Linked DNA regions of Solanum lycopersicum. The protein of the gene in region 1 binds, or shares a complex with, the protein of each later gene. Links are inferred from orthologs where the notes say so. Each region holds a gene or a part of one and is shown in the gene's direction. Other genes may lie near its edges.

Region 1 (4,135 bases):
TAACCTAAATTAATTTAAAAACCCACCCATTCCTAAATTAGATCCGCCCCAAATTCAATTAACCCATCTTTGAGTATATAACAGTACCTCAGACAGAGCACCTCCTGTAGAAGACATAATCAAACTGGATTTTGCACCATATCTGAAACTTGAAGATCTTACTGATGACCATATTTTTACGAAACAACGCCAGTGTTAGAATTCACAGACACCATACCAGCAGAATGAGGAGTATGATCGCCGAGCCATGGGAAAACGAGTCGAGAATCAGGTGAAGCACCAAGAAACTTTGGCAATGGTGAAGGCTCATAACGCCTGCTGCTACTACTGGAACGACTATCACGATGAAGGGTATCTTGCCACGCCCATCTACCATCATCCCGTTTCGATCTTCCTTGAAAGATAACACAATTTGCCAGATCAATTCAAATGCTTAAGAAATGTCACAAAATTAAAATGGTATTGAACTAGCTGAATTTTCCTAAGATTAAACCATTGAACTAGCTGAATTAAATCAAACAGTAATGGCATTACTGTTTGATTTAATTCAGCTAGTTCAATGGTTTAATCTTAGGAAAATGTTTTAAGAATTAAGGTGAAGAGTGAGTAGAATAAGAGGAAAGATAATGAAAGATAGAGATGGATGTTAAGCAATTAGGAGACTTTAGTTAGTGATAATACTTTTTATTTATAAGTTGCTCTGGTTTCTTGATCTGCAAAGAAAAAAGAGGAAGGTGATGTGTGTGTGTTGAAAAAAAAAAAGTGGGGGTGAGGGGGGGGGGGGGAGTGATGGATTTTATTATCCTTTTGAAGTTCTTCAGGGCAAGAAATCGAAGAAGAAGCTGGAAATTTCTTCATGAAGAAGAAAAGACAATGGAGTCATGAAAATTGTGAAAATGGGAGGAATAAGGTTTTAGCATATTTTAATTAGATGGTTATTTTTAAAATTGGGTCAAGTGGGCGGATTTAGTTAAAATAGGTGGGTTTAAAATTATTTTAAATAATTAAATTACAATCAATGGTTGAGTGCCACGTAATTAAAAATTATTATTTAATTATTTTTAATTTTGGTTTGTTAATGAATGGGTAAATTTAGACCCAAGGGTGGGTGTGAAGGGTATTTGGGGGCCAATAGATGGATGGAGGGTAATTGTGTACCATTTTCAATATTTCGAAGGTATTTTAGACCCTTTTCTATATTTTTAATTCTTTTTAGTTATAATTTTATGTTAACATTAGTAATGAAAATACATTTTTTATGTATTACTTATTTATATTTTAGTTATATCTTCTATGATACATAAAATAATATATAATTTTTTGTAATTTACACCTACATTAATTATAAATGTTTCTAATAAGTTTTATGCTAAATAAGTATTGAGTGTAGCAAATATCCCAATGATTTAAATTCCAATATCCAAGATGCGTATGATGTGTGGTAAAGGAAGAATAAGACAAAACCAAAATTGTTTGAGAAAATAATAGTTGTGAGTAAGCAGAAGAGTGTGTTTTTCTTATGTGTTTTCTTAACCTTATAACTCGGATAAAGGGAATAGATGAACCGTGTGTTTTTCTTATGTGTTTTCCTAACCTTATAACTCGGATAAAAGGAATAGAGGAACCCAAAAATAACTATCCCAAACTCAAATCATGAGCTTCACATTCATCAAACCCTCTATTCCTAGTCCTACATCGGAATTGCTGCACCCTTTCAGTAAATCAGTTAAAACCATTACTTGTATCTCAAATTCAATCTTTTTATAATTAATTCTGCTTAACTAATTACCTCTTTTCACTTTCTCAGCAGCTAAGGCATTGTCCAACCTCACCTTTTGGAAATAATGCAGGCAGGAGGCACCAGGTAGGTTTTACATGTTATTATTGATTTGAACAAGTATGGTTTGCAAAAGCATAATTAATGCTGTGGATTTCTATGATTAGATTGAAAGAAATAGGGTGAAGGCACTCCCAGATTGGCCATTAATGGCAGTATTAGTTGAGCATATGGAAGGTCAAAGAGACCTCATAACTCATAAATCTGTTTGGCATCTTAGTGATGAAGCCATGAAGAATGTCTGTGAGTAATCATTACTTACTAATTCATTTTTATCATTCTAATTCAAAATTCTCACACCTAATTTTTTCTCCATTGTAGATACATTTTACATCATGTTCACTGTTTGGGGATGCTGTTTCTTCGGTTCTACCAAAGTAAAATTTTTGAAATTAAACTTCATAAAATTGAGTTGTATCTCATTATTATGTGTCTTTTTTCTTTTAGGATCCTTACTATGATTCAGAACAATACAGAGGAGATGGAGGTGATGGTACTGGACATTGGGTCTATGAGAAGGTACAGTTTTTCTTTTCCGTTTTCTATCAAGGTTAGAAAATCAAAAGGGAAAAATACCCTTTCTTGTTCGCGACAGAGAAATGTTTATAGGTTTCAGTTAATATGTCGTTTGGTTGGGAACAAGTTATATTAGGATTAATTATACGAATTAATTATTTGATCATGTAAATGTGATAACTTATCATAAATAATCTCAGAACTGCTTAATACCTCCAACCAAACACACGGATAAAACATGGATTATCATAGTTTATACCTCACATGCGAGTTTTAGCTTTGACAGGTGAAAAAAAGGTTTTTAAAGAGTTAATTGTAGTCTAAATCCTGAATTCTTGATGTGAATGTTTTTTCCATTAAAAGAACATCTCTCGTTTCTAAAATAAAACTTTACTGAAATAATTTTATGCATATAAATGTCAAAATCATACTAGCTAGTTTCGAATTGTCTGAATTTGTTTCAACATGAATTTTGGCACCTAAATGTCCTATTCAAGATATATAGATATCTTTACAAGGTGGAATGCCATGATATTTGTGTAGTGAATGATACTACAAATCTGATTTTGTGATTGTGCAGCAAGAAGACATCGAAGAAGAAGCGAGAGCAGAGCTGTGGCGTGATGAACTGATAGAGGAGATTGAACAAAAGGTTGGGAGTCTTCGAGAGCTTGAAGAAGCTGGGAAGAAGGAACAGTTGGTCAAATGATCATCTTTATATGTGCTAAGAACAAATTTTATGATGCTTCCCAGTTATGTATATACAATATATGATTTCCAGTTCTATACAACATGGCTGTTTTGCCTTAATTCAGTGTTATGTTGCAAAACTCAGATTTCCCCTTCAAAATGTTGTCTTAATGAACTGTCACAATGTCAACATTTGCACTGTACAGAATCAGTTCTCTTTTTGTATTTGCTACTAGCAAGTCATGCAATGCTCTTTTAACAAGATTCATGGCATACACATCACGAAATCAAAAATTACTTCAATAATAGCCAAATTGTTAACCCTTTGGGTTGGATCAGTAGTTTGACCTTGGGACTTGCATGTTTGAAACCCCCTGCCAGCGAAAGCAAGAAGTTTGCCTTTTGGGTCGAACTCATTGCAGCAGGCTTGCAAGTAGTGAGCTATTGCATAAGAGCGAAAAAATTACCTTGTGCGCACCCAAAGAATAGTGACTGTGAAATCCCGTTGTCTTCAAAAATAAAATTAAAAAATAATAATAATGGCCAATATGTTCCCTCCCTGGTTGAGGAGATTGGAAAGAATTTTGGCTTAAAGCTACAAAAGATATCATCTCTGAATTTACATTCAAGACTGCATAGTTTTTTATTGACTGATAAACATTGTACAAGTGGCAATTTGTGTACAAAAAATAGTGATACGTAGGAACCATGTCTTTGATAGATCTCCAGAAAGAATTGAAGATGTTGTTAAAACATTACAGGGAAAACTGATAAAGAGAACCTGCTCCTTTGATAAAACTGAGAGATAATAATCACTCAATTTTGAATAACTCACTTACAAATTTACTCAATTTAAAATGATTTACATAGAAAATCACTCAACTTTATTTGATAACTCAAAAGTTACTAAATTTAATAAAATAATTAAGAAGTCACTCAAGAAGAGTGTTGGAATCGAAGACGAGAGGTAATCACTAATTATGTTAGTGTAGAGGCATTTTAATATTAAAAGAAATTTGCATATTCACATTGTCATATTGACCGTTTCATTGTTTCATTTATACATACGTTTGTGGATATTCATTGACAGAA
Region 2 (4,227 bases), on another chromosome or scaffold:
TTATAATAATCTTGATGTTAGGGACAGTTTTCCGCATTATCTCGAGTAGTTTCAGGGGATATCTATCATCTCTCATTACCAATAGATATCAAGTAACTCTGTCCATTAAGGTTATGACAGATGGAAAGAATCACTCTAATATTTCTGGTCTATGCTGAATTTTAAACCTAAGATCTTAAGATTCTCAATCACTTTATTGACTACTAAACCACTCATTCGATGCTTGTAAGTTGATATGTTTACGTTAGGTTTTATGCTTTTTAGGAGTCTTTTAATAGCGTGTTTGACGAAGATACTTATTCAGATCAGCTATAATTTGATAAGTGCATCTTATCCAATAATTTTGAAAAAAGTACTTTGATTCAGTTTGTGTTTAACTAAATTATTGAAAAGTATTTTTATTAGTAATTTATATTTCACTAATATTTTCAAGATGTATTTTTACGCATGTCATAATTCAACGAGTAGCATTATTACTAATTTATAAGTACTTATTTTTTCGCTTAAAGTTTGATCAAGTATTTTTTGTATTTAAAATATTTAATCAAACAAACTATTAACGACCCTTATACTAATAGGGATTACAAAAGAATTCTAATTATTTCTTTTTTTCAGTTAAGTTATAATTCGTTTATATAATTTTATCATCCCAATCCATTCATTTCTCATCTATTATTTTTTGTAAATTAAAGGTGTTGCTTTAATTTGTAAAGCAATTATTATTAGTCCAACTATGTGGGAGCTAGAGACATTAGATATTTTAGCTGTAAAGCAATTATTCATGCACAATCAATAATGTATTATTTTTGCCTAAATTGCTTTATATCTCTTTATTTATGAAGATAATTTATTGATGATTTGATTTGTTATATCAAAAACTAAATAACATGTATTTCATAATTTTAAAGAAGATATAATTTGTTCACAAAAATACTCTCCAGTCATTATAACAAAAATAATCATTAATTGTCGTTAAATATGTATTTTTAGCGGCAATTGACACTCTTTGTATATGTCCATAAAATATTTAGCAACATTGGTTCTAATGATACTTAACTAATGCCGGTAAAGACTTTCGCACTCTTTATCAATGTCAATATTTAATGCCGCCAAAAATTATTTTTGTTGTAGTGTAGAAAAATAACATCATAGACTTCAAGGGTGTTTCTGTCAGTTTCATTATTTTATTTTGGGATAACTAATCCTGATACCATTACTCTGCTCTATGACGGTGATAACTTATTTCAGGAGTGTATAGTTGAAAAATTCAGCATAATTTAAATGGTTTTTAGTGTCTAATCTCAATGTTGAACTCAAATTTGTTTTGATACGAGAATTGAATGCCTCAAGGGAAAAACATAAGAAATTTGTTCGATTGATAGAAGATTGATCCCAACCCGTCAATGAAATAGGGCTACTAGTGTTCAGTCTTGATTGATTCCGAAAAAATGCGAACCAAGTAAAACTAGTTTCAAATTGAACAAGGCCAACCCTAAGTTAAACAAATTCCAAAATTGGGCCAACTAGAACAAAGCCTCTTACACCATTGACCCAACAACACCAAAATTTATTGGGAAAAAAAGAGGATAAAATATTTGCCAAGTCACCAAAACCTAAGGTCCATTTTGGATTTAGGGAAATCAATTAATATCCATCCAAAACACACACAAAAACCATCAAACACTCCTTAGATTTTTTTTTTCAACACAAAAATGACCACTTTCACAAATCCTACAACTTTGTTCCATCCAAAAACCAAAATAACCAAAACTCATCACACACAATGCAAGACACTACCCAAAATCCAATCTAACTTATCAACTAATGAACAAAACTTCTCATGTAGACGCAAACTCATCGCGACTTTTCTAGTCACTCCATTGACACTAGGCCTACAATTCACCCCTTTAGCATTAGCTGAAAATTGGGGCGTTCGATCATTCTTAAGAGAACATTTCTTTGAGCCTGGATTGTCCCCTGAAGATGCAGTAGCACGAATTCGTCAAACAGCAGATGGACTACATAGTATTAAAGAGATGTTGGAGACTAACTCATGGAGGTATGTATTGTTTTATATACGACTTAAATCAGCTTATCTTAAACAGGACGTGAAGAATGCCTTATCCAGGGTGCCTGAAAGTCGAAAAGAGTCTTATATTAAAACTGTCAATGAGCTTACTGATAACATGGCTGAGGTAACTAACTGTCCTTATTTTCCCTGTTCAGAATTTTTCGAGGTTCTATTCAGTGTTATGGATATTTCTATGTATTTTCTTCGTCTGCAGTTTGATTACTACATTCGAACACCAAAGGTATATGAATCTCGTGTATTCTATGAGAAGACGTTGAAATCAATTGATGAATTGGTGGGATTACTTGCATAATAATATCATCAGGCTCAAAGGTGAGTGAATGTTGTAGCAGAAAAATCGCGTTGGTTTAACAAATAAACTGATCGAAAAACGTTGAAATTATATACAATTTTATGTTCATTTATAAGCTTGGTCTGCGAGTTGATGAAATTGGAATCAAGATTACATACGAGTTTATGAGAGAATAACTATTAGTTGAATAAACGTGATATTTGAAGATGAAAACATTGAAGTAAGGAGGAAATCTTTTCATTATGTGATACAACTGATGAAAATCTTGATACAATGAAATGCAACTGATGAAACTAACATTTACAAACACAATACACACACAAAGGCTAGCAATTGCTAGTGTAGCCAACATCTTCAGCGCCTTGATAAAGCGATAGATGACAAAATTATAAGTATAACCATCAAGGCCATTGCACCAAAAGAACCGATAAGGGATCCAGCAGAACGTTGACAGAAATCTGTATACTGTTGGCATATCGAAAACCAGTTAGTTGAAGTGTTGCCATTGTGTGCCAAATACACAATCGCGGCTGCTGCTGATGCTCCAGATGTGAGGAAAACCAGCATTATCTTCAAAAGTTTTCGCAAAGTATAAAAGATATCAGTACAACATCATAACAAAGTACTAAATATGAAAACTTTAGCAGAAATCTAATGTATTACCGCGTCTAGAACAATGAGCAAAACTCTGCTCTTTCCTGCTCTACTTCTGATAATGTGAAAGATTGAAATAGTGATAGAAAGTGCAAGATATACACAAACTATAGAATTCGAAACCACGAAGAACCTTCAATCAGAATAAGCAAAACAAAAAAATGTGTTAGTTAACCTTTATACTGTTCTATTTCATGTAATAATATGTTTGCAGTTTTGCTTACTTGAACGAGTCGATATCATCATACTGAGCTTCAAAATTTACAATCTGTGTACTGAATGGAAGTGCTTGATCTGCAGTACCCATTGCCACAGCACTTGCTAAGGTTCCAACAAGTGCAACGATACGTAAAACAAGATCAAATACAGAGATTCCTCTGTTCACTCCATGAACTCTTTTGGCCTTTGATCCCTCTCCAGTTTCAATTGATACTGCCTTCATTTTTTCCTTTTAGCTCAAACTTTGAAACTAGAATGAAATTTTGTTGTTATGATTTGTATGTCAAGTGTGATGCGAATTTATACTAACAAGTGAACCAAATCATGTAACAGAGTTACAAATAGTATTAGGTTTTGATGACACATAATTAGTTGTTGCTTTTGCTTATTTAATCAATGAAATGTACAACTTTCTGGTTCATGATATTCCATAAAGTAGTTAAGTCTTGCATTAACTTGCTACACTTTTTACCTGCTCTACTTTCTTCCTAACATGTATTTTGAAAATGTATTTTTTCTCGAGAAAATGTATCATTATATACGAGAAATCGCGATATTAAAACAGCACACGACACGTTGCAATCCATTTGAGAAGGGTAGTATGTATGCATACGTCACTTTTAACTTTATGGAATTGAGAGGTTGTTCCCGATAAAAACTTCAACATTCTTTGTCCTATCTTTTTTTTCTTTTTTAATGTTTTGCAAACACACTTTATGATCATTGATTTATTATATTAGGTCAATTGATAATATACTAATAACAATGGTTATGGTCCTAAATGGTTTTTTGGATTAGGCACAAAGTTCTACTTGAACATAAGAATCAAACATGAGAAATTAGAATACTAGAAAGTAAAATAATGAATAGGTTGACTTTTTGATTAACAATGAGAAATAAAATAAAGAACAAGTTTATGGAGTAGGTCAAAATCTATCCAAAAAAAAGTTGTGAAACGTGTAATTTCATT
Region 3 (3,962 bases), on another chromosome or scaffold:
TGGAAACAAATGATCAAAATTTTTCATAGACACTTGTTAAGACCTTAGAAATAGAATATGTTCTTCTCGCGAAGAAAAATTGTGAATTTTCAAGTTCAAACGAGCCCCAAAGAAGGCAAAGGCAAATTTTACCAATTTTTATGTGTTATATTTTTCATCAGAAATTTCCAAACAATGGCTGAAATTACTCATGGAAGTCCGTTAAGACCTTAAAATGGAATCAATTTGTCCTGCATGGAAAAATTGTGCATTTTCAAGTTTAAACGAACCCTAAAATAGATAAAGACATATCTTATCGATTTTTGTGTGCATAGCCCATGAATTTTTTTAAATCCAAAAATTTCCAAACAATATGGCCAAAATTTTTCATGGCGTCCGTAAAGAGCTAAGGAATGAAACGAGTTCATCCCGCGGGGAAAAATGATGTATTTTATAATTCAAACGAGCCCCTAAGAAGGCAAAGGTAGTTTTTATCGATTTTAGTGTGTTATAGCCCATAATATTTTTTATCCATAAATCCTAAAACAAAATGACCGCATATTTAATAGACGACCATTAAGACCTTAAAATGGAACCACTTCGTCCTGCGGGGAAAAAAGACACATTTTCAAGTTTAAACAAATTCCAAAGCAGACAAAGACAAATTTTATCAAATTTCTTGCTCTGGGGTTCAGTTGAACTTGAAAATGCACGATTTTTCCCTGCGGGACGAACTGGTTCAATTTATATGGTTTTAACGGATGTCAAAAGAATTTGGCCATTTTTTTATATTCCCGAATCAAAAAGAAAATCATGTGATATAACACATAAAAATTGGTAAAATATGTCTTTGCCTGCTTTGGGCACGTTTGAACTTAAAAATGCATCATTTTTCTCCACGAGACGAGCTAGTTTTATTTCTAAGTTTTTAAAGGACGTCCATGAAAAAATTCGACCATTTTGTTTTGAATTTTTGGGTAAAAATAATTTATGGGTTATGTCATACGAAAATCGATAAAATCTGTTTTTTACCTACTTGTAAACAAAAATTGAAAAAAATGAGGGTTTACCTGCTCTGGATCGTTTGACCTTCAAAATGGGGTGTTTTGATCGTGGTGACTAACTGACTCCATTGATAAGATCTTAACAATCATCCATGTTAATTCAGAAAATATGACGTCAGAGTTCTTATTCACCAAAAATTTCATAGACTATAGCACAGAACACTCGACAAAATTGGGGGTTTACCTACTCTAAACTCGTTTAACCTTGAAAATGGGTCCTTTTTAGCTGTAGTGGCCAATATGCCCCATAGATAAGGTTTTAACTATGTTAATTTTCGGCAAATAACGTTAAAATTCTGGATCACTAAAAAGATGGTTTGACCTTTAAAATGGTCGTTTTGACCGTGACAACCAATTGGCTCCATAGATAAAAGTTCTAACGGACGTCCACAGTAATTTTCAACAAAAATGACATCGAAATTCAGTATTCAAACTCGAAATCCTTAACCGAGAATAGAGTAATCCCATTTATTAGCAGACTAATTTTTGTTATTCAAATCTGGCCGTTGAAGAAGGGGGAAAAAGGGCATGCCCTTATCTACTTATATTGGCCACAACTAAACTAGTTATATCTCCAAAAAAAAAAAAAAAAAACTATAGAGATGGCTTTCTCTGCTGCATTTTCACACACCTCCTTCATATATTCATCATCTTTTTCACAAACAAGAAAAAATAGGATTAATTATAGCCCTTTTGTTATTAAAGCAGAAAATAGTTCATCTGAACCACAAGAAAATAATGAGAAGCCAAAATCTCAAGCAGCAGCAGCAACAACAACTTCTTCTAGTACAACAGCCACCGCAACAAAGCCTAAAAAACCGGTTTATTCTAGTGAGTAGTACTATTTCATGAAAATGTCTCAAATTTCACTAATTTTTTGTTTATAGAAGTTTAGCTTTTTTGTTTTGGTTGGCAGTGAAGAAAGGTCAGATAGTCAGGGTGGAAAAGGAGAAGTATCTGAATAGCATCAATGTGAGTTTTGTTTTTTTTTGCTACTTCACGAGGTAATGATAAGGTTTATGTACACTCTACCTTCTCAGACCTATTTAGTGGGACTTCTTTAATAAAGATATATATACTATAATTTTTTACCAATCAGCATTGTATCCTCTACATGCTTATGAATGATGATAATAATCTGAATTGGAAGTTGTGGACACCCTTGCACTGGAATTTGACTGTATATTTTTGTATAAATTTCTTCAGTATTTGTCTGTTGATCATCCACCTTATTACAAAGGTCTGGACTACATATATGAAGACCGTGGTGAGGTACCATTTTCTTATTTCTCTATAGATCATGTCAAAAGGGATAACAAAATACAATTTGGAACAACATGTTATTTATAAAATAAACTAATCATATATCTGTTTAGGTATTGGATATTCGTATATTCGAGACAGGAGAATATGCACTTGTAAGTATATTTTTTTCGAAATTCAATTTATTATATCAAAACACACCTCGAAACATAAATTTCACTGAATATATAAAGAGATCAAAGTTGAGAGTTTACCTATGCTGCAGATTGGATGGATCGGAATACCAACTGCACCAGCTTGGCTTCCAACAGAGATGCTAATTAAGGTAATTAGCCTTTTGAAATCATTCAAAATACTAAAGCAGCAATTTGCATCATTTCATGAGTACCTTTTATGGTACACTATTAAAAAAACCTCCTTGCACTTCAAATGAGAATCTCTGGTGAAAATTATTTTGGACAAACTCATAGCAATTAACTGCACGGAGGTTTGGGGAATGGACCGGTGGGTTGCTTATATGAACTTAAGCAATCCTCCCAAGTATCCGGAATGGACTGGTGGTTTGCTTATATGAACTTAAGCAATCCTCCCAAGTATCGTATCTTTATTTGATGATACAGTTTCCACCTTGCTAAAAAGCAAGTGGTCTGTTGCGTAATCACACATTCCCTAACCAATAACAAATTTTGCAGTCTGATAAGCTGGATTACGAGAGAATATAGTGGCGAGTCCACAGTTACAGACCAGTACATGCCAGACGAGTAAATCAAAGTGGAGCATCAGATTGACCGCTGCTCATCAGAGATGAAGAGAGATGAGATGGACACACCTCCAGAATTTACTTATTGCTAAATATATTATTATTCCTTAAAGATCACTCAATCAGCTTCTCAGTTGACACTAAATAATCGTTAAATTGATTCTTAAGAAGCTTAATATAACAATCCTGGACTATTCAGTAGGTAAAAGACAGCTTCCAGTAACAATCAAGAGACGTTCTAGATCAACTGAAATATAAATAAACAGCAACATACCCAATGTAATCCCACAAGTGGGGTCTGGGAAGGATAGAACTGAAATATGATATCAGTTAAACACAAAATACCTTCCATATTGAATAGAATGGAGTCGGTTTATAAATGAATATCGAAATGTACGTCTCAATGTACCATTAATTTTTTCATAAAATTATAGTGTACACACAATATACAGTAGGCAGGTAACTGGAAAGTCTCAGTGTACAGCAGCCTGTAAAAAGGGAAGGTGAAGAACAGGTGGTATGGAGTATAAGTTATCTGTATTTTTTTCTGTAAACAATGCTGTACTTGGTATCAATATCTGAAAGCGATGAGGGTGGAGAATGAAATGAAGAAATTAATGAAGAAATGATGCCAGGAAAAATCAGAACTTACAGCCTTCTCCTAGCACGCTTAGTAGCATTCATAAGCTCTGTCAACGAAGCAAGGGGTCGGGGCACTGGTACATGCATAGACCGGTATAATTTCCGCAAACTTGGGTTATAACTGTTTGACAATCCAACCGCTGACTCAAAAATACAATTCTCTGTTTTTCTGTGCAACAAGCTCTCTTTACTCCTGATGTCTGAACTTTCACTTACTGCCAAGGTCTTACCAGTGTCCACCACAACTTCTTCCT
Region 4 (3,831 bases), on another chromosome or scaffold:
ACCAAGTCAAGCTTGTAGACGCAATCCTTGCTCATTGAATTGGTGGTCATTTCGTAGTTGATGACCCAAATGAAATTACCACACCATGAAGAAATGTCATGCGATAAGTCTCATCAGCTTGAAACATTTCAAGTTGAAAATGAGTTGATAAACAACTGAAATTCAAATGACCTCTTACAAATTAGAAAATATTGTAATAAAGACTATGGTAAATGTTGACCTTAACATATCGACATGGTCATCTCTCATGAAGCTTCAAATGTCTCGTGAAAGATCAACTACGATAAAAAAAACATTTGCTTCACAAATACTTCAAGGCTTGTCTTTACAAGTTCGACAAATCAAGCACCTCAACAAGCCTCAAAGTAGGGGCATTTGTAAACACTGAAGTTTTATTGATAAATCCATATTACATTTGGATTAAATCTTAAATCACCATATGTTGACCAAGTCAAATTACTGGTTGATAAAGTCTAATTAATATCTAAGCCAAAATTGTATGACTTAAATCAAGTCCAAATCATTTGGATCATTCCATTAAGTTGACAAGATGAGCCCAACTCATGTTCTTCAGGCCCAGGGATCAAAATTGCTCAGACCAAAATACCCTAAAGCCCTAACTCAAGCCTATATAAAGAGGTATTCTTCTGACCAAAAGGACAAAAAAAAATACATATACACAGGAATACATAATTGCTTTTCAGCATATAAAGAAGTCTTCGCTCCAAGGGTTGAGCCGCAAGTATTCCGCCAAATCAATAACATCTGTGAAGAGAAGAATCAGGGGATTAAATATCTTTTTGAGATATTTTATAAAGATTGTAACCTTAGTATTAATTCAAATACAAATATTATTGTTTGCTTGCTATTTTTCCTTTCCTGTATATTGTATTTCAGGATTGAAACTTTAGACGCATACACTGAGATTTGGATCATCCAAGGTACATTAACATGGCGTACTCCACCCCTGGTACCCTTTGATCATTCTTCAATTATATTTGGCGTTGCATTTACACAGTTGATGAATACCTCCACGCTAGGATGTAAATTGATCATTGATGCATCGCCAGTTGGATTTCCTTTCAAATAGCTTGTGCTATACAGTGATTGAAAGAACCTGTGCTTGGTTTTTCCACATCAACATGGGTGCATTTGATATCACATTTCATATGGTCGAGTTGTTAAAGTATCATTATCTTAAATTCTTCGAAGTCAATTGTTAAGGTTTTTAGCATTGATCAACCCATTAATTTTTAAGTTATAAGTTTACATTTACTATCTATTGCAATTTTGATGAATTTTTACACATAAATTTATATTTCGCATTAAAAGTACTGAGTTCAGATAAACTCGGTATCAATACATTAGATCCGCCTCATCCATCAAGGATTCAAGTTTGTGCTGTTGTTACATACAGATATTTATGACATGGTAAACTTGTGAAAAATTTGCAAGAACAATTAGTAAAAATTATCAATGTGGATATAGTCAAATTTTAGCCCCACATATGAAGCACAGCTCATTTAGTTGTAGTTGAAAGAGACATAAAAGCCCATTTGGACCTTGGCAGGAAAGGTCATCCTCACATTTAATTTGCATCTTATCCTATTGAGCAAGAAAAAATGATGGAAAAAAAAGTGATTGTATTAGGAGAAAAAATAAACATGTTAAGCAAAAATCTAGTGATTTTTGTCCACAAAAATGGCAGCTACTTCACTCTCATTGAATCTTGGGCTTCCATCACCAGCAGCCAACAATTTGAATAGGCATGGCTTACACAACATTATTACATGTTCGGCATCAGAAAACACGTCCCCTAATCAACAGAGTAAGAAAATTTCATATCGATCAATTATGAAGTCATGTTTGCATTTACGCCATTTTCTCCGTGGTAAAATTCTACTAGTATCTCTGTTTCAGGATGCTTGATGAGAAGGTCATATCTATTAGGAGCAGGGGCTCTTTCGTTGGGTTTATTATTACCCGCGACTCCCCTTCTAGCTCAAGGTACTCTGTTACTATAATTTTTATTCTCTAAACTTTTTACTTTTTATAATTAAATGACGTGTATGCAGGAGTACCGGAGAACTATGAAATCTTTGTTGACAAACGAGATGGTTATTCGTATTACTATCCATCAGATTGGAGGGTATGTTGCTTCTTTTTTTTTTAAGAAATGAATTTTTAGAAATTAGTAAACTCTCATTTTGACTTTGGATGTATGTACAGGAATTCGATTTCAGAGGTCATGATTCTGCATTTAAAGATAGGTATCTACAACTGCAAAATGTAAGACTTAGTTTTATACCAACTGATAAAACAGATATCCATGATTTGGGGCCAATGCAAGAGGTAAATCGCGGTACTATTCATCTATGTAGCCGTTTTTTATTAAGCTATCAAGGAGGAGAAAAATATAAAAAAGACATGTATTTTCTTCGTCATACCAACTTATTTCTACTTTCCTAAAGGTTGTGCCCGATCTGGTAAAACATGTTTACTCTGCACCGAATCAGGTGGCAAATATAATGGAAATGAAGGAGGTATGATCCTTTCTTATTCTCTTGATTGTACAATATACGTAGCTCTTTTTCAATTAGTCACCATATTTTTGTTCAAAATTATGTAGAGAACTACGGATGGGAAAAACTATTTCACCTTTGAATATGTATTGACATCTCCAAATTTTTCGCGGGCAGCATTTGCTACTATAGCAATTGCAAATGGTAAGTGATCTGGTTTGTTTCCTTTAACTGTACATTACATTTTTCTGCATTCGTATTAAGACATTTCGTACAGGGAGATACTACACATTAATCGTGGGAGCGAATGAAAGGCGATGGAGAAAATTCCGCAACAAACTTAAAGTGGTGGCTGATTCATTTCAGGTGTTGGACATTTAGAATTGTTCTAAGAGCTGCAATGATAGAGTCTTGTTCCATGAAACAGGATTTGCAATTTGTTTATTGAATTACAGTACAAAGAATGTTTCTGGCTATCCCATAAGTAACTGAAATCCCCTTGTAGTTGAAGCGGTGAAGTGTTAACGACAAATTTTAAAGTGATGGAAAATAAAGCACAAATAAAGTACGGCATGATACATATCTAATCTTGGTTTCAAATTTTAACTTTGACCTCCAACGTTCATAGTAAACAAACAAACACTTCAATTATCTAACCCTTTAATAAATAAACACGCGAGTCGTACCTGGCAAACATGTAATGTGCATGTATTTTGTGCGAGTTAGGAGTAGTAATTTTTGAGGTCCACAATGGTAAAAAAATGCTGAAATAACAACTCCACCATTAATGAATCCCTTTTATATATTTTTTTATATTTCCAAATCAAAATTCATTTAAATTTTTTTTAAATTCTAAAATGGACGCATAAAATATTTAATTAGTTGGCAGTCATTGAGTGGCTCACTAATATACGTGGGAGCATTTGCATTTCACTCTCTTTGTCTCCAAAAATCGTGTGTTTATTTATTTAATGGTATGATAGTTTAAGTGTCTATTTGTGCACTATTAAAGTTGGAGGTCAAAGTCAAAATTTGAAGTCAAGTTTAGGGTCCAATATATGTATTATGCCTATAAAATATGATGAAACACAGTTTTTCATTGGTATTTGCGAGTATAAGTTCTCTTGATTTTTCTCTCTGAATTAAATCTGTTATTCGAGGGTGGTTAGTAACATATTTCTCGAATATATGATAATTTGGACCTCTTTGAGATATATTTGATTGTAAGGCAATATTTGATGTCTTGATCTCTTTGTGAATATTCTAGGAGTTTATGACATATTTGACATACCTCTTCAAGGGAATATAT
Region 5 (3,244 bases), on another chromosome or scaffold:
TAAACACCACTTGTGTTTGTTGTTGTTTTGAGTCAATTTCTACAAATACATTCTCGAAACATTCAATGTATGATATTGTTTATTCGCACAAGTAAATGTAAGATTTGAAGTTCACATTGAAATTGTTTATTCGCATAAGTAGATGTAAGATTTGAAGTCCATTAATTTTTACGATAATTTTAAATTAATAGTATATATTAATTATTGAATTTATTATCAAATATTTAATGAATCCTATAGAGACAAAAAAGAATTCTTTTCGTCCCCATTCTGGCTATTGATAGGAATAATTTACGCTCCAATTTATGCAAATTCAATGTGTACACTATATACACCTTTTATCAATACTTATTATCTCTAAATTGTGTTTAATAATGTATTAAAGAAAAATGGTATGAAATAGCAAAATATGTTATTCAAATTAAATAATATAGCTATGATTTATTTTGTTTGTAATTTGTCACAAACATTCCATTCTTTTGTAATCTGATTCGCTATACAATTAGTCATTTCCGATATATAATTAGACATTTTATATATTTCGATATAGAATGTATAAAATGTGTTTGTGTTTGTATGAAACGAGAGAAAAGATTATATACAAATACATACATACATACATACATACATACACACACATATATATATATATATATTCGTTCTATATACTTATGATTATATAAATCTAGATCTTATTATACAAATTACAATTTATAAATGAATTTATACAAAACTGAACAATCTGAATAAAATTGGATGTATCTAGCGAATTATACAAATCAAAAACTCCATAGCAAACATAAAATTTATTATGGAACGCAATTATGCAAACTATATTTACAACATACAAATATGATTTTTATGTTTGCAATTTGTGAAAAATTACGTCTTTAAAAAAACAACTTTAGAGGCTATTTAGATGAACTTAAAAAGTAACTTTTAAATCAAAAATAAAATGTCAAACTTAAATGATTTATAAGTTAAAAAATAAAAGGCAGAGGAAGACCTACTTTTGATTTTAAACTTATTTTAAGTCATTTTAAAGTTATTTTTAACTTTGTCAAACACTTTCTGACTTATTTTAAGCCATTTTTTACTTACTCTAAGTTATTTTTTATATTTATCGAACACTTCCAAAAATAAAAATAACTGACTTTTAAATCAATTCAAACGCCCTCTTATTTAATCAACTATATCTTCTACAAGACCCCTTTCACATGTGTGGTCCTGACTTTTAGAAATTCCTTTTGATAACAAATAGCAACATAGCGCGAATCTAATACCTCTATATACTCTGATCATCAAGTTAAATCATATGATCATTTTTTAAAAAAATCTTAAATTATTAAAGAAAAACATAATATATCTCGTGTAATTTCATAAATGAATATAAAAATTATAATTTACTTTTAACGCAATTCCTCACGTGTGGTCCTGATTCTTTTTGAAAGGATGGTGTAAAACATGAGTGCAAGTTTAATCTTTTTCCAAGGAAGATAACATCATTCATGTGTTTCATTTGTCAATAGAAGATATCAAAACAAAAACAGATTGGTGGTCAGAATTTGAAAGGACAAATTACAGTTTCCCATTTCTACTTCTCATCTCATCCTCTACCATCATCTTTCCCAAATCCAAAGTTCTTGAAAAAAAATCAAAACCATGGCTTCTGCTTCTTCCTTTCAACTCTCAAGCCTTCAAATTCAAACCCCACCTCTTAAAAAATCAAACTTTCTTGGTCAATCTGTCAATCTCAACCTCAGTAGTAGTGTTCATACCAAATCAGCTATGAAATCATCTTCAAACTCAGTTACACCAATAGCAAAATTCAATCTTTATGAGATTCTTGGAGGTAGAGGTCTGTGTAATGGAGAAGAGGGTATAGAGAAAGAGCTAAAAAAGTCGATTTCCGAAGAACAAAAGGCAGTAGGATCAGCAGCAGCAGCAGCTAGTGATGATGATAATCAAGAAAACAAGGAGACTGGGGAGATACCGGAGGACGGATTTGAGAAAGAAATGATGGGGTTTACTGGCGGATTTCCGGGAGGTGAGAAGGGTCTAATGAAATTTATAGAGAAAAATCCACCACCACCACCACCCAAGAAAACAGAATCAAGTATGGTTTCTGGTTTTAATCAAAGTCTTGTGAAGAAACCAAAGCCACCTGAATTGCCACTTTTGTTACCTGGGATGATTGCTATTGTCAAGAATTCTAATAATCCATATTATATGTATTGTGGGATTGTGCAGAGGATTACTGATGGTAAGGCTGCTGTGCTTTTTGAAGGTGGGAACTGGGATAGGTTGATATCTTTCAGGCTCGAAGAACTCGAACGTAGAGAGAAAGGACCGCCAATGGTGAATCTTAAGTCTGTGATACTTGAGAAGATGGTAGAAAAGAGCTCTGAAGCTTGAATTGCTTCAGTTTTTGAGTAGATTGTTTGTTCTTTTGTCTTTTGGGTTGTTGTACATACAAGCTGTAAGTTTTGTAATGGCAATGGCATGTAATAAGAAATGCAGAAAAACTTTTGTGCAGGAAGAGTTCTGTCCCAAATGAGAAGTTCAACTCTTAGCAGTGATGTTCGAAAGAACTCTTAACAAAAACAACGTAAAAAATAAGAATCAGGTAATTCAAACCACTTGCAAAACATATAGTCAAATATTTAATATGATTGCACAAGATCTAGTTTTGTTTAAGTAATGAATCCTAGCATGTTCTTCTGATCAATTCATAGATCATTAGATACCATCAGTAATGAGGATCTGAAATATCACACGTTTTATCGAGCAAAGAGAGAGTCTAGCAGAACAACAACATACAGTATTTAACAGTGAGTGATAAAACAATTCTTACTTTTCACAAGCATGAGGTACCTCTGACACCACATATGGTGGATCTTAGACTCCATCCAATTGGACAACAGGTCGATATCGATGTAGATAAGTTCAATAATGATAGCTAGCCTGAGAGAGAGTATACAATGGTGCAAACTGCAAGATTTTGACAGATTCTCAAACAGATGGACCAAAATTTTATAATGCATAGTCTGCAAATGTTTACATTCAGTATCAAGGTAGTAAGCCAATCCACGCATTAGCCTCCAATGTCTAATGATCATTAATTAAAGATGTCATTTGCAGAATACACTTATAATTCCAGAAAACTGTGTCAGTTATACCATACATGCAAAAGAAATCACCCAAATGTAAGCCAGACGTCGAAAAACTATGTCCTCTGTCTGCA
Region 6 (4,526 bases), on another chromosome or scaffold:
TCTGTAAACAGGGCAAACTCCCACTACGTTGTAATCATCTTGAAGCACATCAACGCAAAACCAAATCTGCTATCCCCAGGTTCCTCCACTTGATATCCACCACATCGATTAAGTCTATAACTAGGCAACTTGCTATACTTTCTAATTGACGGATTCCATATAAACAAGTCATGCAATTTGTTACATAGGCAACACAAATCAATCTGTTTACCGAACCCACCAGCCAAGGATAGTCTTTGGAAATTTTACCTGGATAATCCAAGTCAATTACCTCCTTTACAGAATGGCGATGTAAATCACTACACATAACTAGCCAACATAAATAGCAACCTTAAACATAACTCCTTGTTACTAGCACAAAATAAGAGATGCGTCTTCACAAATTTAGGGATAGAGATTAAGGAAAGCCAAGATTTCGACACAGACCTGAATTGTAAAAGGGATTTCACCGGAAGCCTTAACAAAACTAAATCTTTGCTTGAAATGGACTGAATTTCCATGGGTTTGCTCCGCTTTGGGAGGCTTCGTCCTCTTTGGATTCCATTTGGGTTTTGCAGAAATGGGAAATCTTTGAGGTTTCGATAGGGAGATTACTATATAAAAAGCCCTAAAGTTTGTCTTTTTTATTTTCCCTCTTACAACAGAGCTGGTTTTAGTTTTTATGTTTTAATACTATATAAATAATATTTTCACTGGTAATTTATATTTTAAAATCATTATATATTGAGTGTTGGTTATATTTTGTTATCTTAAACAACTTATGTCTTATAAGGTATAAATTTATTTTCAAAATATGATGCAGGAATCAAAGCACCATAGTACGTGTTCTAGTTAAAGGAAGGAGATATATGTGCTCCAATTATTTTTGGAGTTCTGTTATGTGTTTCAAAAGTTTTACTAGTAATTATTGTGAAACATTGTCTTTTTTAGATGTTAATGGTCGTATCACAATTCATATTTTATCTGTGGTGAACGTTCTTACTCCTTATGAATTTTACAATGAATACTTAACTTTGTTTTATTTTAAAAATTCAAAATATAAAAGAATAAAAATTAATTTATTTGAAGGACAACTTATGCAATTAAATAGGATGTTTGGAAATTTCATAATCTTTACTTGGATTTTGGATTTTCAATCCAAAATATATAAATTAGGTTTAAGTTTGGCTTTTGTTCTTTTCTAAATCACAAAATTATTTCATTAAAAAAGTTACAATAGAGTTTGAACTCTCACCTTATGATTATTATTCTAGCTATGTTTGAATATACAATATAAAATTAAAATTTGAATAACTAATTTGAGATTATGTTATCTCAAATTTTAAATTCTCCCCAAAACATCATTTCAATTTTTAAAATATAGAACTTATCCCATAAATTTATATAGCTAATATTATTATGCATATTTAAATATTTGTTATTTGTAATTTCTTTATTGTAAAGTTTATCAGCACATTTATTGAGTGGCAAGGAACAAAGTAGTCATCTTTGTCCAAGTTTGCAATGGTCCTTCCACAGTCTCTGTTGCTATAGCTGCCTACTGCCACCACTCACACACTGCCACCAAAATACCCAAATGACAACTCTCTCCTACACCTTCCCTAGCACCACCAGCAGCAGCAGCAGCACTAGGAGGTTCTTGATTACTAGCAATGGGTCTTCTTGCCGGCGGCGCCCCAATATTTCCACTGAAGACCAACCCTGTTCCTCTTCAGGTCATCCCCAATAACCCCTTTCTCTGTGTGTGTGCGCAGTGTGAAGATTTATAATGCTTAATTGATATTATGGGTTGTTACAATATCTTGATATTAGGGTGATCACTAAAAAAGTGAAAAGATCAAGACTTTGTAATAATATTGCATCTGTGTGAGGTGGGGTGTTAATTTTTATTTTTTTTTAAAAAAAAGGGGTTCATATTGGTGGTTAAGGCTTGAGCACCTCCTACCTTTGAGGTAGTTTAGATAGGCCTAAAACTTAATTTTACATGGTATGAGTACCAGGTTCATTCCCGGTGTGAGCTTTTGGTTCTCGCTCTCAAGGGGCCTAAGCGTGAAGGAGGGTGTATGGTTTTGCGATTGAGTTAGGTCCGGATGACAATATCTTTACGGACTTGATAACTTAATGGTTGATTCAAGCTTGTTAAATGTAAATATTAAGTTATGTAGGGAGTGGAAGTATGCATTTTACTTAATAATGTTTTGAAGTTGTGTACAAATTCAGCTTCAACTCACATTTGTTCCCAATTTTCAGCTTTATGGTTCAATATCATGGTGTGTGTGTGTGTGTGTGTGAAGATGTATAACGTTTAGTTGCTATTATGTGTTGTTATAATATCTTGATATTAGGGGGATGGTTAAAGAACTGAAAAGATCAAGACTTAACTTAATGGACTATTCAATCTTGTTAAATGTGAATATTTAGTTGAGTAGGGAGTGATATGTACACTTTACTTAATTCTGTTTTTAAGCTATGGTTTGGGTGTGTAGAGATTCAGCTTCTACTCGCATTTGTTCCCAATTTTCAGATTTATAGTTCAATATCACGGTGTGCGTGTGTGTGAAGACGTATGCTTAGTTGCTATTATGTGTTGTTACAAAATTAGGGTGATGGTTAAAGAACTAAAAAGATCAAGACTTGATATCATAATGGGTGATTCCAGCTTGTTATATGTAAATATTAGTGGGGTAGGTAGTGAAAGTGTACATTTACTTAATTATGTTTTGAAGTTTTGTTTTTTGGGTGAGTAGAGATTCAGCTCCAACTCACATTTGTTCCCGATTGTTATTGTTTTACATGGTATGAAATCCAGACTTTCCCTAATATTGGTCTATAAAGCTGAAAATGTTTGTGCTTACTGTTATGCACTGTCACATTAAGCAGTGCATTGGCAATGTTTCTAGCCATTGTTGACAATGGTAAAAACTGACTTCTGGTTCTCGAGTTTCACAGGTTGCTTACAGTAGGCACCCTTTCAGTTCTCCCTGTAACATAATCTTATCAGTTCTCTTTGGAAAATGACTTATTTATAACTTTTTCTACCTTTTACATGTGGAAATGCACACTTGCAGCACCAAAATGATACTGTTATCCTGTTCGCATTAATTAAATTTTGAGAGTGATGTCTTAACGTTCAATGTTTTTCATTATGATGCCTTTGTTCTTTCGGTCATGTACCATGAAATCTGAATTAAAATGGCAAAATGCAGCCTGTTATCAAGGGGCAGTGCAGTCTTATGGTCTGCAGAAGCAACGAGTACAATTAAATGGCATATCAAAGGCTGTGAGAACGAGAAGACTTGATTCAGTTGGAAGACAAAAGAAAGGAGCAATTAGATGTAACATTGAACTTCAGGACTTCATAGGTGGAGATCTCATTAAACCTGATTTGGGTCAATGGTTATCAGATGTGGAAGAACACAAAGCCATAGCAATTTACTCTCCTCATGAAGGGGGCTATGAAGGACGCTACCTTACACGTCTTAAGTACCAGGGATATCATTTCTTGGACCTTTCGGCTCGTGGCCTCGGTGACCCTGAAACCACTCTTACCAAATTCCACCCTGTCTGCCCTGTAAGTTTAGCAGTTCGCATACGATATGCTTATTCTCAAACACTAACTTGCAGTGTCTAATTGACTCTCATCTGCAAATTTTGATGTTGCAGGCTCATGTTGGTAAGCAACCAATAGCTAGATGGTATTTTCCTCCAGAAGTTGATTATAGGCTTTCTTTACTTCCTCCGGATGCTAAAGGATTAGTGGTTTGGATAATAGAAGCCAAGGTTAAATCCACCCCTTCAAGTGTACATCATCTAATTAGTCCATCAGCAGTATTTTGACTAGATCTTTGTTAACTGTTTGACCTAAAATGTTCAGGTCTTATCAAAGGCAGAGCTGCAGTTTCTTGCTTTACTCCCGACACTTCGTCCTAATGTGAGGGTCATTGCAGAGTGTGGTAACTGGTAAGATTTTCCTTTCATCTTCCTTTTTCTTGTTTATCAATCAACTCTCTTGTAAATAAGGAAACTTTGAGATCTTGTCGTTGTGGTTAAAACAACATTGTATGCAAAAGCTACCTGGATTTACTTCAGTTTAGCCTTCTGTGGTCAATGCTACATACTTTATCATCATTCTTAGCTTGTAGATGCAAGAGTCAGGACAAGTACTTTAATAAAGATAGCATCTTTTGGTTTTCTTTTTTTTCATCTTTTTAGAATTGCCGAAGGTCAATAGTAAACAACCTCTCTACTTTTGAGGTTGGGCTAAGGTATACATACACTCAACCCTCCCCATACCCCAATTTGTGGGACTACACTGAATATGTTCTTGTTGTTCATCTTTTTGAGAATTGAATTCCCTTCTATTCAAGAGGTGCATGCTCATGTTAATTTTTGAATATATGTTCATTACATAACTATTCTATTTACATCCCCTTGAGCTGCGGCCCTTTCCTGCACCTTGCGTGGACACAAGATCCTTCGTCCACCGGGCTGCCATATCCTTTACTTTTACATGACTATTCTATTCA
Region 7 (4,467 bases), on another chromosome or scaffold:
AAATTAATATCCACAGAATTGAGTTTACTCACAATCATATTGAACTCATTTATATGATCAGAAACGAATCAGTTTCAGACATCTGTAAATTGAACAATCTACGCATCAAATATACCTTGTTCATAGCCGATGGTTTTTCATACATGTTTGACAGTGTTTTCAACAGACCGGACGTAGTCTTCTCCTTCACGATGTTGAACGCCACGTTTCTTGACAAAGTCAACCGGATCAACCCTAGAGCCTGACGATCCTTGAGTTTCCACTTCTCCTCCGTCATGGATTCCGGCTTCACCCCGGTCAACGGTTCGTGAAAATCTTTCTGGTACAGATAATCTTCGATCTGCATCTTCCAGAAACTGAAATCGGATCCATCAAACTTCTTGATTCCAAGCTTCGAACTATCCATCTTCTGTGATCGTGTTGAATCTCCTTAGCTCTGATACCAGTTGTTAGGATCGATTCACGCACACACACTAGATGATTGAAGAACACAAGAACTTTCAAGAGAAAGAGATGAGAAATCTAGAGAGAGAGAGAGAAAACTCAATATTTCGTGGTAAAACCCCGTGAGTAAACTTCTACGACGGTGAGGTATATTTATATTAATAAATCAGAGTATTTTTGGTTACAAAGAATAAATAGGAAAACCTAAAATTAATCAGGCTCCACTACCTAACACTTATTTACATAAGCTTGTACTCTTACCACAATCATAGTCTACTTGATACATTGTACTCTTTATAACATTATATATATATAGAAGGCTTCAACGTGGAGCTCATCATGGGAGAATATTATTATACACAGGTAATAGATGATTTCAAACTAAAATGTTCAATTTTATAAAAAATAAAAAGTAATATTGAAAAACAAAGGTAAAATGTCTTATTTTTGTTCGACTTCAATAACTAAAATATTAATATTATTTTGTCACACTTCAAATACATGTTCATTTTTTGGAGTTTTAGAAACTAAACCTAATGAATCCTTTTTTAGAAAACACGATTTTTGAACAAATAAAACAAAACTCACATCAAAATTGGGAGTACTCAAACATCAACTTCATTGAAAAATATATTGAGAAGACCTAGAATTTCATTCCTTTCTCGTCAGATTAAAAGAGGAGAAAACAAGAGGAGAAAAAGAAAATAAAAAAAATAAGTCAAGTTTAGAGTTTTCGAACTTTTAATGGCAAAGAAAAAACACAAAATTGAAAGTTTTTTTCATTTTATTTGTTTGGAAGATGAAGAGTCACATTCTAGATCTACAAATATAGAGAGAGTATTTGAATGTTTATTTAAAAAGAAGTGGAGTATATTTGATTGAGAGTGAAACGTAAAGTGGTCAATTTATATTTTTATTCATGTAGTACTAATTATTCAAGTATAACTTATTTCATCTCGAACTCGCATAAAATAATTCATGGATTGACTCATAACTTATACATGTATTACTTCAATAGTTTTCTAATTTTCTAATGAAACATAGAATTATGTGTGTTAAAACATTATATCTTGACATAAAAGAGCTATCAAATATAGTATAACTTATGTAACGTAACTCAATCCTTATCCAGTAACCAAACGATCTCGCACTTTAAACCATGGTAAAAATTAGGCTATTTCCTAATATTATACTCTAGTAACAACTTTTTTACCATTTGTAATGGATATGTTTACCTAATCGGTCTATACAAGAGGGTTGAGGCTCGTCATCTCCGTCACACACCATCTTTGTCCCTCATTTTCACCAACCACACACACTCTCTCTCTCTATCTCTATTGCAGTTCAACTCGCCGTACCGGAGAACTGAAATCGGCAACTATGGCAGCTACATTTGCTTCAGTGGTGAGTTTCTTTAACCTCTCAATAATTTGCAGTTGAGCTTTGTTGTTCAGTGTTGCCTTCTAATTTGTAGTAATAACACTAATTTTTGGAAATAGAGCGTTGTTGTTGTTGTTGTTGTTGTTTTAGTTGACTAACGTTTCTCCGTTTACAGTCGAATTTAGGCTCAATTTCAGTTCCACGAGTTGCGAACCCTACATATGCTGCTTATCCGAAGTTGCTGAAATCTTCATTCTCATCGTCAAGCTTATTTGGTGGTTCGTTGCGTCTGGACACTTCTTCAAACCGTTCGGTTCACAAAAAAACCGGCGGTTCATCTGGTTCTATTCAAGCCGCGGTGGAGGTCTGTGCTCGCTCGCTGAGCTAATTTATTAGTGATTGCTCTACTGTTTGTGTGTTTCTTCTTTGATTTCGCCGAAAATTTGATGATTGAGTCAATATGTCTAGCGTTGAGCTAGTAAATATGCGTTCTAGGGTTTCTGTGAGGAATAACTTTTCTGTTTAAGTTCTAGAGCTAAATGTAAGGGATAAGTAGATGAATACATTGGTTGCAGATGGCATGTGTGGCTGAGTGTTACTTCGTTGTCTCATTTTATGTGAGAATATGTTAAATTAGGTTTGTATATAGTATTGGTGATGCTAGAAGAAACTATGAACAACTTTTGGAAAAAAAGTTTATATCGAAGGTTGTGAAAAGAGAAATTTTAGTTCTTCATAATATTTGTGAGTGGAACAAGGACTTTTAATACTTACAACTTGTGAAATTGGTATAAAAATATAGAGATGTCAAATATGACCCAAAATGAGAAGACTGTCATATAATGCAGTGTTTTCTTTTGTTAAGTAGCAAAGTTAATTGTGGAAGCGGATTTTTAAGTCTTGGAGCATTGATTAGAATGGCTGTGGTTCAGTTTTCAGCAAACATGGTGTTATGTTGCCTTTTGTATGGGACTAATGTTCCATAATTTGTTCATTACTTGGTTGAAGTTTTTAATAGATCTGAATGTATTTATTGAAATCCAGGTGGCGGATTTGCAATCCAAAGTGACAAACAAAGTTTATTTTGATATTAGCATTGGGAATCCTGTTGGAAAACTTGCTGGGCGAATTGTAATTGGATTATATGGTGATGATGTGCCACAGACAGCTGAAAATTTCCGTGCACTCTGCACAGGTTCTTTAATAGATTTTATGTTATTAATATTATTGTCGTCGATATTCTTATGACTAGTGCTGCTATCACTACTACCTTTATTGCAGTTTTTGTTCTCATTATCATTATTGCTATAATATTCTGCCTTGTTGCTTGAGCTTCATGCATATAATTCTTTCTATCATTTATGTTTAGCTTATAGTTTGGATTGATTTCTTCCGATCAGGTGAGAAGGGCTTTGGCTTCAAGGATTCTGCATTTCACCGTGTTATTAAAGATTTCATGATTCAAGGGGGTGATTTCGACAAGGGAAATGTAGGTGTCTCAACACCTGGTTTGCTTTCTCTTTCTTTCTTTTTTTTTTCTATTTGTTCCTCTAATTGGCATTCTTCTTGACACACACATCCTTCACCCAGTTCATTGTATTTTCTGTAGTACACTTGGTGTGTTTTGGGTGCTTATCTTTTAGCCTTTTATTTTGCTTGTTTCACCTTGAGCAAGATTTTAAATTAACAGAAATGCAAAATTCTGAATTAGTTCTTTGCCTAGTGTTTTCTTGTTCCTGTTTGGTGGTTTATCCTTCATCTTTTGGATCCTCCATGGCTCCAATTTCTACCATGGAAAACCAGAGAAGAAAAGGTTGTTTTTCAGTTTGTTTCGGTTCTGTGTTTGTGAGACTTCCCTGATGCTTGTAGCAACGTAAGATCTCTGTATTCTAAATTATCAATTTTCATGGTATAAACTTTTTTTCAAAAATAAGTAATGAACTTGCATGATGTAACTTTGCTTGTTCTATGTTTCTGAATGGGATGTCTTCTTTGATTAGTAGTTGAATGTGTGAAAGAGTACATGAGCTAAGATGCTCAGTGGAATATGTACTACTGCCATATTCAATAATTCTGTTTAAGTGGAATGTGTTATTGCACACAACTTGACTGCTCCAATATTTAATATGCATAGATTGATTGAAGAGTGTTCTAGTGTTTGCAGTTCATAATTTGGAAAATTTTCACTTGCCATTCTGGCATATTGTAATCTTCCCCCCATGGATTTAATTTTTTATTCGCAGGGAACCGGTGGTAAAAGCATATATGGTCGTACCTTCAAGGATGAAAACTTCAAGTGTAAGTTGGATTTTCTTCTTAAAAATTGGTTTCAAACTTCTCCTTGTGGTTAAGGCAATGGACCCCTTTGGTTCAGATTGTCAATTGTGTTCAATGTTCTTTTGTGATGAAAAATCCTTGTGTAATTGCAGTGGTTCATACCGGACCTGGGATTGTTAGCATGGCTAATGCAGGGCCTAATACCAACGGAAGCCAATTCTTCATTTGCACTGTAAAGGTATGTGGAATAGGAATCTCAATCAGCTGAATATCTTTTGTGAATACTGACTGCAAAGTTGTTTTCAAAAAAAAAAAAATACTGACTGCGAAGTTGTGATTACAATAGTACTCTTATCATATTGCAAA

The links.
Region 2: photosynthetic NDH subunit of subcomplex B 4, chloroplastic (region 1) and photosynthetic NDH subunit of lumenal location 2, chloroplastic share a complex: the UniProt entries of both Arabidopsis thaliana proteins name them as parts of the chloroplast NDH complex. The link is inferred for Solanum lycopersicum from reciprocal best matches to the Arabidopsis thaliana genes PnsB4 and PnsL2.
Region 3: photosynthetic NDH subunit of subcomplex B 4, chloroplastic (region 1) and NAD(P)H-quinone oxidoreductase subunit O, chloroplastic share a complex: the UniProt entries of both Arabidopsis thaliana proteins name them as parts of the chloroplast NDH complex. The link is inferred for Solanum lycopersicum from reciprocal best matches to the Arabidopsis thaliana genes PnsB4 and NdhO.
Region 4: photosynthetic NDH subunit of subcomplex B 4, chloroplastic (region 1) and photosynthetic NDH subunit of lumenal location 1, chloroplastic share a complex: the UniProt entries of both Arabidopsis thaliana proteins name them as parts of the chloroplast NDH complex. The link is inferred for Solanum lycopersicum from reciprocal best matches to the Arabidopsis thaliana genes PnsB4 and PnsL1.
Region 5: photosynthetic NDH subunit of subcomplex B 4, chloroplastic (region 1) and NAD(P)H-quinone oxidoreductase subunit S, chloroplastic share a complex: the UniProt entries of both Arabidopsis thaliana proteins name them as parts of the chloroplast NDH complex. The link is inferred for Solanum lycopersicum from reciprocal best matches to the Arabidopsis thaliana genes PnsB4 and NdhS.
Region 6: photosynthetic NDH subunit of subcomplex B 4, chloroplastic (region 1) and NAD(P)H-quinone oxidoreductase subunit N, chloroplastic share a complex: the UniProt entries of both Arabidopsis thaliana proteins name them as parts of the chloroplast NDH complex. The link is inferred for Solanum lycopersicum from reciprocal best matches to the Arabidopsis thaliana genes PnsB4 and NdhN.
Region 7: photosynthetic NDH subunit of subcomplex B 4, chloroplastic (region 1) and photosynthetic NDH subunit of lumenal location 5, chloroplastic share a complex: the UniProt entries of both Arabidopsis thaliana proteins name them as parts of the chloroplast NDH complex. The link is inferred for Solanum lycopersicum from reciprocal best matches to the Arabidopsis thaliana genes PnsB4 and Pnsl5.

What each region holds. Positions count from the first base shown.
Region 1 is NC_090811.1:46,151,037-46,155,171, reverse strand, and holds photosynthetic NDH subunit of subcomplex B 4, chloroplastic, read left to right. Parts: upstream 1-1,438; 5' UTR 1,439-1,653; coding exon 1,654-1,725; intron 1,726-1,807; coding exon 1,808-1,864; intron 1,865-1,944; coding exon 1,945-2,080; intron 2,081-2,158; coding exon 2,159-2,214; intron 2,215-2,284; coding exon 2,285-2,356; intron 2,357-2,933; coding exon 2,934-3,062; 3' UTR 3,063-3,183; downstream 3,184-4,135. UniProt on the Arabidopsis thaliana protein: NDH shuttles electrons from NAD(P)H:plastoquinone, via FMN and iron-sulfur (Fe-S) centers, to quinones in the photosynthetic chain and possibly in a chloroplast respiratory chain.
Region 2 is NC_090804.1:2,507,504-2,511,730, forward strand, and holds photosynthetic NDH subunit of lumenal location 2, chloroplastic, read left to right. Parts: upstream 1-1,671; 5' UTR 1,672-1,712; coding exon 1,713-2,195; intron 2,196-2,285; coding exon 2,286-2,384; 3' UTR 2,385-2,404; exon of another isoform or gene 2,405-2,499; intron 2,500-2,599; exon of another isoform or gene 2,600-2,738; coding exon of another isoform or gene 2,739-2,954; intron 2,955-3,047; coding exon of another isoform or gene 3,048-3,171; intron 3,172-3,262; coding exon of another isoform or gene 3,263-3,480; 3' UTR 3,481-3,676; downstream 3,677-4,227. Other genes in the region: casparian strip membrane protein 2, read right to left, coding at 2,739-2,954, 3,048-3,171, 3,263-3,480. UniProt on the Arabidopsis thaliana protein: NDH shuttles electrons from NAD(P)H:plastoquinone, via FMN and iron-sulfur (Fe-S) centers, to quinones in the photosynthetic chain and possibly in a chloroplast respiratory chain.
Region 3 is NC_090810.1:1,415,107-1,419,068, reverse strand, and holds NAD(P)H-quinone oxidoreductase subunit O, chloroplastic, read left to right. Parts: upstream 1-1,548; 5' UTR 1,549-1,645; coding exon 1,646-1,874; intron 1,875-1,938; coding exon 1,939-2,015; coding exon of another isoform or gene 2,016-2,047; intron 2,048-2,249; coding exon 2,250-2,315; intron 2,316-2,419; coding exon 2,420-2,461; intron 2,462-2,571; coding exon 2,572-2,631; intron 2,632-2,998; coding exon 2,999-3,028; 3' UTR 3,029-3,274; downstream 3,275-3,962. Other genes in the region: uncharacterized protein, read right to left, coding at 3,715-3,962. UniProt on the Arabidopsis thaliana protein: NDH shuttles electrons from NAD(P)H:plastoquinone, via FMN and iron-sulfur (Fe-S) centers, to quinones in the photosynthetic chain and possibly in a chloroplast respiratory chain.
Region 4 is NC_090809.1:53,936,622-53,940,452, forward strand, and holds photosynthetic NDH subunit of lumenal location 1, chloroplastic, read left to right. Parts: upstream 1-1,554; 5' UTR 1,555-1,701; coding exon 1,702-1,828; intron 1,829-1,906; exon of another isoform or gene 1,907-1,920; coding exon 1,921-2,007; intron 2,008-2,075; coding exon 2,076-2,149; intron 2,150-2,229; coding exon 2,230-2,352; intron 2,353-2,471; coding exon 2,472-2,543; intron 2,544-2,629; coding exon 2,630-2,726; intron 2,727-2,799; coding exon 2,800-2,903; 3' UTR 2,904-3,109; downstream 3,110-3,831. UniProt on the Arabidopsis thaliana protein: NDH shuttles electrons from NAD(P)H:plastoquinone, via FMN and iron-sulfur (Fe-S) centers, to quinones in the photosynthetic chain and possibly in a chloroplast respiratory chain.
Region 5 is NC_090807.1:67,427,260-67,430,503, reverse strand, and holds NAD(P)H-quinone oxidoreductase subunit S, chloroplastic, read left to right. Parts: upstream 1-1,662; coding exon 1,663-2,415; 3' UTR 2,416-2,539; downstream 2,540-3,244. UniProt on the Arabidopsis thaliana protein: NDH shuttles electrons from NAD(P)H:plastoquinone, via FMN and iron-sulfur (Fe-S) centers, to quinones in the photosynthetic chain and possibly in a chloroplast respiratory chain.
Region 6 is NC_090808.1:66,282,372-66,286,897, forward strand, and holds the start of NAD(P)H-quinone oxidoreductase subunit N, chloroplastic, read left to right. Parts: upstream 1-1,306; 5' UTR 1,307-1,576; coding exon 1,577-1,715; intron 1,716-3,206; coding exon 3,207-3,571; intron 3,572-3,663; coding exon 3,664-3,780; intron 3,781-3,874; coding exon 3,875-3,960; intron 3,961-4,526. UniProt on the Arabidopsis thaliana protein: NDH shuttles electrons from NAD(P)H:plastoquinone, via FMN and iron-sulfur (Fe-S) centers, to quinones in the photosynthetic chain and possibly in a chloroplast respiratory chain.
Region 7 is NC_090800.1:5,016,271-5,020,737, forward strand, and holds the start of photosynthetic NDH subunit of lumenal location 5, chloroplastic, read left to right. Parts: upstream 1-1,549; 5' UTR 1,550-1,824; coding exon 1,825-1,848; intron 1,849-1,999; coding exon 2,000-2,188; intron 2,189-2,868; coding exon 2,869-3,019; intron 3,020-3,224; coding exon 3,225-3,313; intron 3,314-4,067; coding exon 4,068-4,122; intron 4,123-4,253; coding exon 4,254-4,339; intron 4,340-4,467. UniProt on the Arabidopsis thaliana protein: NDH shuttles electrons from NAD(P)H:plastoquinone, via FMN and iron-sulfur (Fe-S) centers, to quinones in the photosynthetic chain and possibly in a chloroplast respiratory chain.